Linked DNA regions of Schizosaccharomyces pombe. The protein of the gene in region 1 interacts with the protein of each later gene in a pairwise test. Each region holds a gene or a part of one and is shown on either strand. Other genes may lie near its edges.

Region 1 (7,146 bases):
ACCCTCGAAATATGGGGCACTTATGAAACCCCAGCCGCTGAATTTATTGTAATTAAAAACTTATCCTATCCAAAAAAAAGTTTGACCAGAAGAAAACCCTAACGAAATAAATTTGATCCCTTCTTGGAGGGGACTTCTCTCTTTAGCTTTTGTAGCAGAGATTGTAGCTATGTTCAGATACATAAGCACAGTGGACAAGCAATACCCAAGCTTTAAAGTCTCCAAGTAGAAATAATTAGTACGCCTTCTAGATCTTGAAAGAAACTGATTGACGAAAACTAAGAGACACGACCCTTTGTAGACAGAGGCTATCGATCCCTGGATATCTCACAAATGTCAAAACAAATAAAAATTGACTAAATGAAGAGATGAGTTGTCAAATTTGCCTAAAAATTAAATAATAAAAGTTTGCTAATTAAATGATAAAAAATATTGCAAAATTAACAATATAATTATTCCCTTCTCTTTCCCCAATTTTTCTTTCCCTTTTTTGTTATTAAAAAAATAAATAAACCAAATAATTAAAGATCCGAATGTAATTGAGATATTCGTTAACGTTCACTGCTAATAGATCGTTGCTGATTGCTCCTCTAAATCTAATGCAATAAAACACAACTTGAAATATCGTAAAGAGATGCAATTTCACTCCAATTTGATCCTTGCAAGAGCCTAATTAATTTCTGTCCTAATTTAATGAATTAAACAGAATGCTTATGGTTTCATAAATAATGTAGTTTTTATATGGTTGATGTGGTGGTTTTAATTCACATATCGCTCTTCACTTAACTAACCGAACAATTATATTACGAACTCTAACGTACTACCTTGCCTTAGAAACGACGCCCCCAATACATATTGGTAAATCCTTTAGTAAAGTGAATGAACGATCGATTGCTTCTAATGAGCAAGTCTTTGTTTTTAAGACCTATTATTTGAAGGATACTTTTGTCGAATGGGTACATCTAGGGTCATATGTAATTCATAGAATATATAGATAAATCATAATTTTGTCCTCAACTTTACTATTAACTATGTGGGGAATTGTGGAGAAACACTAATGTTACATTTACTGTCTAAACTGTAAGCGAGAATACTACCTATCTGAATATTGTAATATAAAAACATAGAAACATTACTAAATTTTTAAAAATTTGATCTGTACCACTTGTTTGATTTTATACTTTTTTTTCAATTTATTCTACGGGTAATGCTGTTTTAGGAGTGCGAACTTAAGTAATTGTAATTGGGAGTTTTACCATAGTTCAAAGATTTGTGACACTTTTTATTATTCAGTGCTAAAGACTTGAGTGGTCTTATTAGGCGAATATACAGAAAGAATTTTATTTTCTCTCCATAAACTGCTAACTTCAATCTGGAAGATTTGCTAATATACCAAAGATTAAAGCTTATGTTAATAGACTATGTCGCGACTCTAAAAAGCCAAAACCATATAAATTGAAAATACTACGACATCTTGCTCGTGCTGATAAATTGTTTTAAAACATTTTTTGCACTTGCATTGTAGTGTAAATAGGACATGATTCTCAAAATCATAGACTAAAGAAAACCGCTTTGTTGAATGTTCTTCTTCAGCATACACATAATTCTCTTAAGCCTTTGAAAAATTAGCCTAAGAAATTAAATCCACAGAAAACCTTTATTAGGTAAATAAGTACAGTATTATGTACAGGTTATTACATGACTACAACGCTATTTAAGGCTAGTAAATAGTAGAAGCAAAATTGAAATGATATTTATAGATAAAAAGAAATACACATATGTTTTGGTATAAAAAAGTTTAATCGCATGCGATGCTTGTATATCTATAGATCGCAACTCCGCTTAAGTTTACGGAGCCTTAATATAAATCAGAAAATCGTGAGTAGAACATTGCTTAAAAGCGAAGGTCCCATCCAATTTTAGGACCTAAAATAGGAAGTTGTTCAGCTACGCTTTGAACATCCTTGTCACCACGACCTGAAATGGTGATCACAATATCCTTATCTTTAGGTAACTTTTTAGCAAGCTCCATTCCACCATACACAGCATGAGAAGATTCCAAAGCGGGAATGATACCTTCAAGATGACATAGAGCGCGGAATCCTTCTAAACATTGAGCATCAGTGACAGCGATAAACTCTGCGCGATTGGTATATTTAAGTTCAGATAATTCGGGTCCCACACCTGGATAATCCAATCCAGCAGATATAGAGTGAGTATCTTGAATTTGTCCATCTTCGCGTTGCAGAACATATGTTCGAACTCCATGAAATACACCAACTTTTCCCATAGTCAATGTAGCACTATGTTTGGGGGTATCTACACCATCACCACCAGCTTCACAACCCAACATCATTACACTTTTATCGGCTTTGAAGGGAGAAAACATTCCAATCGAATTGGATCCACCACCAACACAAGCAACAACTGCATCAGGAAGTTTTTTACGCTTCTCTTGCATTTGCGCTTTCGTTTCCTCGCCAATGACACTTTGGAAAGTTTTAACAATGGTAGGGAATGGATGAGGGCCAATTGCAGATCCAATTAAATAATGAGTGGTGTCTATTTGTTCGACCCACGCCTTCAAAGCTTCGTTAACAGCATCACGAAGGGTCTGTGTACCTGAAGTAACCGGAACGACTTCAGCTCCCAAAAGACGGATGCGAAAAACGTTGAGTGCTTGACGACGACAATCTTCTGCACCCATGTAGATAGTACATTTCATACCAAATTTAGCGGCACAGATAGCAGTAGCAACTCCATGCTGACCAGCACCAGTTTCAGCAATGATACGGTTTTTTCCTAAACGTTTGGCAAGAAGAATTTGCCCAATACAGTTGTTAATTTTGTGTGAACCACCATGATTCAAGTCTTCACGCTTCAACCAAATATGGGCACCACCACAATACTCAGTTAAACGCTTAGCATAATCGAGGGCACTTGGACGACCCATATACTCATAATAAGAACGAAATTCTTCCCAAAACTTTTCATCATGCAAAGCCTTATAAAATACACTTTCAAGTTCAACTAAGCACTGGGTTAATGCTTCTGGAACATACATACCACCAAACATGCCATATTTTTGAGGAAGATACATTTCGTTGATAGGTTCGACCACAGCAGCAGGGGGGGCAGTAGCAACAGAACCACCGGATTGAAACTGTTTAGGTACAGGTGCGGATGGGTCTTCTTTAGTAAGATATTTACAATATTCCTCAACCACGGTAGCAGCAGTGCCAGGCTCTGCCTTCAAAATCAAATCGATAATTTTGCTTCCAACTACAACACCATCTGACACGCTGCCAACTTGGTGGAAATGTTCACTGGTGTTAACACCAAAACCAACTGCTAGAGGGGTATCTCCAGCAAATTTACGAACACGCTGACAGAGCTGAGGCAAAGCAGTATTGATTACTCCGGTAGCAGATGATCCTGTACTACCCATACGAGAAACAACGTAAATAAAGGAGTCAGCCACAGAGGCCAAGAGCTCCATACGCCTGTCCGTAGTAGAAGGAGCAACAAGAGGAACGAAACTAACACCTTGCTTTTTACATTCTTCTCTAAAGCCGACAGCCTCCTCTGGAGGAAGGTCAACGATGATGAAACCATTAGCGCCAACCTCCTTTGCCTTTTGAATAGTTTTGGCATCTCCATAACTGAAAATAGGATTGTAGTAACCCATCAAAATTATAGGGATAGTTACACCTGCATCACGAGCGAGCTTTACAGTTTCAAATACTTTTTCTAAAGTAATATTATTCTTCAAAGCAATTTCGTTTCCCTTGCAAATTGTAGGACCATCAGCGACGGCATCAGAAAAAGGAATACCAAGCTCAATTATTCCTGCTCCTCCATTTTGCAAACCTTGCATAATTTTGATAGTTTCATCAACATTAGGAAAACCGCAAGTGACAAATGTCACTAAAACATTTTTGTTTTCTTCTTTTGCTTTGAGAAACGTTTTTTTAATCTGCTCTGTCATTTTTCATGAGTTTTGCGATAGTCAAAAAAATATTGGCGGTGGAACAGAGATTGGAGGGACCGACAGAATAGATCGTTAAGATTTCAAACGAAGATGACCATATTGATAAGTCAAATAATTTTATAGATAACTAAATTAAGTTTCAAAACATTATAAAATCGTTAAGGCCTGCAATTGTGGTGCAGATTGAACCAAATTTCGTAAGTTCATGGGCAAATTACCTTCAGGTGGATGGATGTTAAACTAAAAAGTTAAATTTCGACTTCACCATTAACTTCACTTGAATGTAAGCTGTTTACTACTAATATAAAAGTATATGCCTAGTTGATACTAAATTTTGTTATGAATGAACGGAATCAACCTGAGACATCAATGTCTAGATTAATCAAATGTAAGTAAATGAGAATTGGGGTTGCTGACTTTCATTGTTATTAGAAATATATACAGTTTTTACAGAACGGAAGCTGATTGCACAGACAATTCGCCTGTCGAAAAATAAGAGTATTGGCGTTACATAGCAATCCATCAAAAAAGTTTGTCATATTTTGTTGCATTAAATATCACCTTTTGGTACATTTTTTAGATTTCTCAGAATAATTTTAAAGATCCTGTAACCTCATTGATTACGCTGACAGGCCCAGGACCAATGCCCAAGACTGTAGCAGAACCAGATGCAATCTGGGTGCGACCAGCATCGTGTATAACCCTGGCACATAGCCCTAGAGACATTGCTTGGGCTTGCAGTAATTCCAACGTCTCTTCGGTTTGAGCTTGAAGAGTAATTTTAGCCTGTCCAGCATTTTCCCATATACGTACCAAATCGGGGTCCACCGCAGATGCGATTTTGTAGCAGGCTAAGGCTGCATGCGCACATTGAGCTGCTATTTTTCCTTTGGTCATGCCTAAATCCGTCCTAACGACCAATACCATTTTAGTTTGTCCTTCCGCCAATGCAAGCGCAGCCAAACTGCTGTTTCCTTTCAGCATATCTAAAAGTTCAGTTTCGGACTCGCTGTCTTCATCATTGCTAACAGAAACAGGACTTTCTTTTTCTGGGTTAGATGCTTTGTTGGCATTTTTGGAACTATAACCTCTTGATGCATCTGCTACACTGTATTTGCGTCCGATCATAAACCCCACTACAGCGCCGACAAGTACTGCTGCAGGAAAGGAGGAGATCATGAAATTTACGAAAGGTACTTTCATAACTACTATGAAATTATAATGTCAAAATAATTATGTGTGCGAAACTTAAGAGCTAAGAAACATAATATATACCGGCAACATCATTAAATTGATGTAGTGAAGCGCAACATACTCCTCTCAAAACTATTAATTTGTTTCACAAAATTAATAATGATGCATTCAGAGAAATTAATATTAAATTTCATTAAAAGAACGAAGAAGGATATCTCATATATGTGTTTGAAAAGTTTGACTGACCAGAAGCCAACTCATGGTACTTATTTAAATTTAGGCGTCTCCAATCTTCTATGCGCTTCTCCATTTTAACATGATAACTCGAAGAAAGAATGAGTAATCAAGAGTATACAAAAAATTATGTTTAGCGTTAACATTGAAGTGAGACTTTCTAACATCAATTGTAGCGACGACGCTTAGGGGAACTATCTCTTCCTCCATAGTCTGAAGAGTGAGAGGAGCGAGTAGGACCACGACCAAATCTTGACCCTCCTCCAGAAGATTTTCGAAATCCTCCTCGATAGCCACCACGAAATCCAGAGTCGCCACGAAATCGGGATCCCCGTTCCCGTCGCGGCCTTTCTTTTGTATAATGTCGCCCGCCAAGTCCACCACCTAACTTACGCGGTAGCCATCCTTTTACAGTTCTACCTCTTTCGACATCGACCACTATCCGCCTTCCATTTAGCATCAAACCAGCTGATGCTTTGTAAGCAACTTTTAAATCTCGTTCCCTTTCAAACACAACAAATGCATATCCCATTGATTTTCCTGTAACTTTATTACGAACAACTCGTATGCGCTCGATAGGCCCATATCGAGTAAATTCTCGTTCAATATCGCTTTCCTTGGTATCATAGCTTAACCGAGAAAGAAACATAGTTTTATATGGATCTCCAATGACATGGCGATCGTGATCAGGATCCCATACCTTAATCATGGACCGTAATCTTTCTCGTTGCTGTTTTTGTTTCTCGTCTCTAAGACGCAAACGCTTTTCTTCCAAGCTTTCAGTCGGGTGATATTGTTGATCGTGAGACTGCGCATATTTCAGATATTTTGCTATGCCTGAAACGCGAGGTGTTGAACGTTTCTCAGGAGGCACATCCATAGGAGGCAGATACCTCAATGGGGGACGTGGAGCAAACAATGCAAGTAGAGGAGCCGGTAATTTTTCAGCCATTCTATATGAATTGTTTTTTTTTATTTAGAAGTGTGTGGGTGCAATGCTGTGTAGGGTATATCCCAGTAAAGCGATATTGCCTGTATAATAAGTGCTATGTGGGGGCGTACAGTACAATTTTTTCGCTTATTATTAAAATATGTAAGCAAATTATATAGTCATATTTATTTGACATAAAAGGGAAGCAAATATGTATTTACCCTATGAATAAACCTAGTACACGCATGGGCTGCATCAAAAGGAAACCTCATAATTTTAAAGGACGAAAAGCCTCACCAGCTAATAAAAGTTAGGGAAATCCTTATTTCAACGTTGAATTCATGCATGATTAAAACGACAACAACAGAACATTGAGTAGACCGTTATTCTCAACAAAAAGTGATAGAAAAAAATGAAAAGAGCCACTAGATTAACTCAGTGTTCAACATTAACATCTAAGTCTCATTTAAAGTCAGTAGTCTTGATATTCATTAACAATTTGAATGTAAAACGAAAAATAAACATTAAAGGAATAACTTTAGAAGAGAATACCATATGTGTATTACACAGTCGTTCATTAGTTTCTAATGCAATGCCAATTAGAATAACAAATTAATGAAGACCATTGGAGTTAGAAGACACGACAGATTGTAAATATGACAGAAAATGATCATCAGACCCTTTGAAATCGGATTCCTGGGTATCTTCCTTTTTTTGATCTGCCAAAGGCGAACGTTTTAAAATCTTAACGAAACCAGGACTCATATCAACATGGTTTTTGTTGGTTTCCGAATTC
Region 2 (3,933 bases), 1.2 Mb from region 1:
CACACTCCTGCTGTTCCTGCTGTCCCGTCTCAAGTCAAAGACCTCCCTTCTATTTCAAAGCCTCAAGAATTGGATGAAGAAGAAGAACTTCGAAAACTACAGGCTGAATTCTCTCTTTAAAGTGACCAGTACGCTTGCTCGGTATTTTTATTATTTTCTCAATATGTTAAAGTCATCTTCTAAGGTTTCTGTTATAACTTATGGAATTATTTAATTTGTCAGTTGTTAGTATTCTATGTTTTCCTTGTTATGAGTCATCATGGAAGCCTAAATACAAATTTTATGTACAATACCATTATTAGACTATAACTTATAGGTCTCCGTCCTCATGTTCGGATGTGTGTTTTTTCATTGTATTTTAATAATTGGTGTAGTTAAATAATCTACGGAAAAACTAGCTGAAGAATTTTACATATTACGTCTTCTTCATTCTACTAAAACAACTGTATCAAATGACTGTTAGTTCAAGTTAACTTTTTAATGTTTTGAGTTATTCCAGACACGTTCATATCTTGTCAAATTGATTAATATTAATCTAAACAGTGTGCTCAGAATCCTGTTGTGTTTAATCATTAAACAGTGTATCAACCTAGCGCTTTTGGTTTATTTGCTTTGGCAAATAGTCAAGCTCAACTGAGGAAACGATAAGAATTCTTCAACAAAATAAAAGTAATGTAAAAACTTAGAAACAGCCATTCTAATATGCATATTCAAGCTGTCAATCAATTTGTTAAAAAATATACATTTAGAGGCTTTTGACACCCTTATTAACAGCAGTGGATAAGATTGAAAAAATACATTATTCTTTGCCAGAAGTAGGATAAACGTAAGGCTTGACCAACATCTCAGAGAAAGACTTCAAAGCTTCAGTACCGCGAACTTCAGCTGGAACTTGCGGTACTTTGACAACATGAAAGTCTTCATAGAGCTCTTCAATTTGCGCCAAATATTTTTGTTGCATTTTTCTTCTAGCCATACACTGGGGACAAGTGGTGTTGGGATCAAGCAAAAGTTGGTTAACAACGATGTTGTGAGTATCAATTTCATAACTAGTAAGTTCTTGAATCATTCTTTCAGTTTCATAAAGAGAAAGGAACTCGGAAATACATACACACACAAAAGTAGTAAGATCTGGATTCTTAAATTGCTTGTTAACTTCAGAAATATTAGCACGCATGCTTTCCATCTTTCCAAATAGATCTTGTTCATTGGCATTTACACCCATTATGCTACCCATTTGGTTAATCATAGGGCCAAATCTACTGGAGAGACCGCCAAGCTTGCCGAGAGCTTTTTCCAAAACAGTTGGAAAATTCAAAAATCTTAACGTATGTCCAGTAGGAGCGGTATCGAAAATGACACAATCAAATTCCATAGATTTGATCTGCTTAAGGATTTCAGCGAATGCCAATGCCTCGTCGATACCTGGTATTGTAAAAGCCAAATCCTGCATCATTCCAGATAAAGGATTATTGGGATTTTGTTGGTCAGCTTGCTCTGTCATTTCCTGAATGGATAAATTAGGATCGATCTCCATGGCACTCAGATTATCAAAACCAGGAACCTTACGAGCGTCTTTTCCAAATTTCGTGCCAAAGGCATCAGAAAGATTGTGAGCAGGATCCGTGGAGATAAGTAGAACAGAGGATCTAACTTTTGACATTTGAATGGCCAATGAACACGACGTAGTTGTTTTTCCTACACCGCCTTTTCCTCCTACAAAAATCCATTTTAAGGAAGTTTGCTCAAGAAGGTTTTCTAAGGTTCCAGGCAATGGGTCGAAGGACATTTTACTTTATTAGAGAATTTTTTTTTTTAATCTGAAGCTAGTCTTCTTATAGACTCTCGTTGACCAGATGCACGATGCGATATGCTGAGGATAGGTGTTACGACAGTTTGCAAGTGAAAATGAAGATCCTAAGTACGCGGCAGATCAGTTCCCAACGATCAGAGATAAAAATTTAATTAAAGACTTAATAATTGTACATTGCAACTACAATTAATAGTGTATAGCATGTTTTGTTCCTATTTTTGATACGCTAGCAATATAACAATTAAGTAAGTTTTTTATCAAGGATTCGTAAAGCCATGCTAGTAGAATGCTAAATACGGTATGCTGAAATTTCATAATTAAAAAAATTCCTTTAAATGGATTTTCTAATCGTATAATATGTTTTGGCCTGCTGAAGCTCGATTACCATATTCGTTATAAAGAAAAGAACTACATGGAATCATTCAACGTAAATCAAGGATCAGAGCTACAGATGTTTGTTGATGACTAAAGCACTCACAAGAAATCAAGGAACAACTTTGAATCATACTGAGCAGAGAATATACTATTTTGTACCATCATATAAATTTGCATCCATATCAACAACATATTTAGTAAACTACCAGTTTTTGCATACCGATAGAGGAGATATATTAAACTGAATTAAAGAAAAAGTTATTATTTCTAAGTCTGAATATAATCCCTGATAAGCAAACAAAGAAAAACATAAAACACACTATCGAAACCCAACACCAAACAAAAACAATCGTAAAAAGTATTAATAGTACATTAAAATCGGATCCTTATGAATACCCCTGTACAATTAAATATGACTATCTTGATTCGCAGCATCCAGTACCAGTGGATGGGGTTCCATAAGTATCACTCGCGAAAAGGAAAAATCCTATCCAAGCACCTACGAAACCGAACAAAATGGCATATCCGTTAAACGACATTACAATCAACATGAGGATGGTAGCGGACAAGTAAAACGATGAATACATGGCTGCTCGTATTAGTTGTTGCCAGACAGTAACATGCACAGTGGAACTTGGAAAGAAGATACGCAGAGGTCCACTTAAAGTTTTGCCATTAGAGTGAGCAACAATCCAGCGATCAAACATTCTTTGAACGAGGGACAAACCTTCAATAGCGACGGCGAAGAAAAAAATTCCAATAATACTACCGGCGAATTTGTTTCCAGTGTTGATATGCCAGGATTTAGCCAGGAAACACGAGTCATGTATATACCAATTCCATAGCATACTCATGCGACATGTCGCAGCACTCGAGTTACTGGAGCTACCCATACCCATGCCACTCATGCCACTCATACTCATCTTACTTAAGCTCATTTTGTTGCAAGAAGCGTTAGCCAAATATTGAGAAGTATCTTAGGTATCTGTCAATAAAGGATAAGAGCCGATAAAAAGAAAGAAAAGAAGACACTCAATGGAAAGCGTCTTAAACTAAAATAACAAGTATAACCGGAACAATGCGAAAACAAATGTCTTTTGTTGAAAGTAAGTTAATAACACTAGTTTTACCACCTTTAAGCGAAATATCTCTCTATGAGCTGGGCCTTTTTCGCAGACAGACAAAATGTATAATTTAGCAACTTCTTACTGCTACCTATACACTTGAATTAGAATGATCACTACAGGTTTTTTTCAAGTCCTGAATGTTCAATTAAGCTGAACGCTCAAATATCGCTTCAAAGTGAACGGGGGTAGGATTACCTTTTATAGCAGTTTAAAAGCATCATCTACTGATATGCGACTTTTTCTCCTTTGGGTAAAAACTACCAGCTATAATCGCTCAGCAAAATTCCCGCCAAATGGTGATTAAGGTATTGCGGCGGGTCGCGTTAATCGAAAAGAATATAAAAATAAAAAAAAAAAGCAAAATTAATTAATTAATTAAATCAAACATACAAAGGAATTTGGATGAATATGAATATGTAAATTTTAATCCCGGTGATGTTATCGTATACATTAAGAGTTACAAGAAACTCCAAAAAAAATAAACAAATGAGGTTTGCCTAAATTGATATTCAAATACGATTTTCGTACGTTGTAAATAGATATAAAAGTAAAGTAAGATTTGTATGAATACAATAACAATTAAGATTCTTCTTTTGATTAAAGCACTACAGGAGCATT

What was found. The genes of interacting proteins can lie anywhere in the genome.
Region 2: the proteins of pth2 (region 1) and get3 interact in a two-hybrid assay, tested with the Schizosaccharomyces pombe proteins (2 studies listed by BioGRID).

Annotation. Positions count from the first base shown.
Region 1 is NC_003424.3:2,455,764-2,462,909, forward strand, and holds pth2 (aminoacyl-tRNA hydrolase), read right to left. Parts: upstream 5,233-7,146; 5' UTR 5,195-5,232; coding exon 4,577-5,194; 3' UTR 4,426-4,576; downstream 1-4,425. Other genes in the region: trp2 (tryptophan synthase), read right to left, coding at 1,895-3,988; U1 snRNP-associated protein Usp101, read right to left, coding at 5,586-6,371; mRNA-decapping complex catalytic subunit Dcp2, read right to left, coding at 6,963-7,146.
Region 2 is NC_003424.3:3,634,958-3,638,890, reverse strand, and holds get3 (GET complex ATPase subunit Get3), read right to left. Parts: upstream 1,882-3,933; 5' UTR 1,790-1,881; coding exon 800-1,789; 3' UTR 501-799; downstream 1-500. Other genes in the region: ESCRT III complex subunit Vps32, read left to right, coding at 1-120; Cu transporter complex subunit Ctr5, read right to left, coding at 2,605-3,126. UniProt on the Schizosaccharomyces pombe protein: ATPase required for the post-translational delivery of tail-anchored (TA) proteins to the endoplasmic reticulum. Recognizes and selectively binds the transmembrane domain of TA proteins in the cytosol.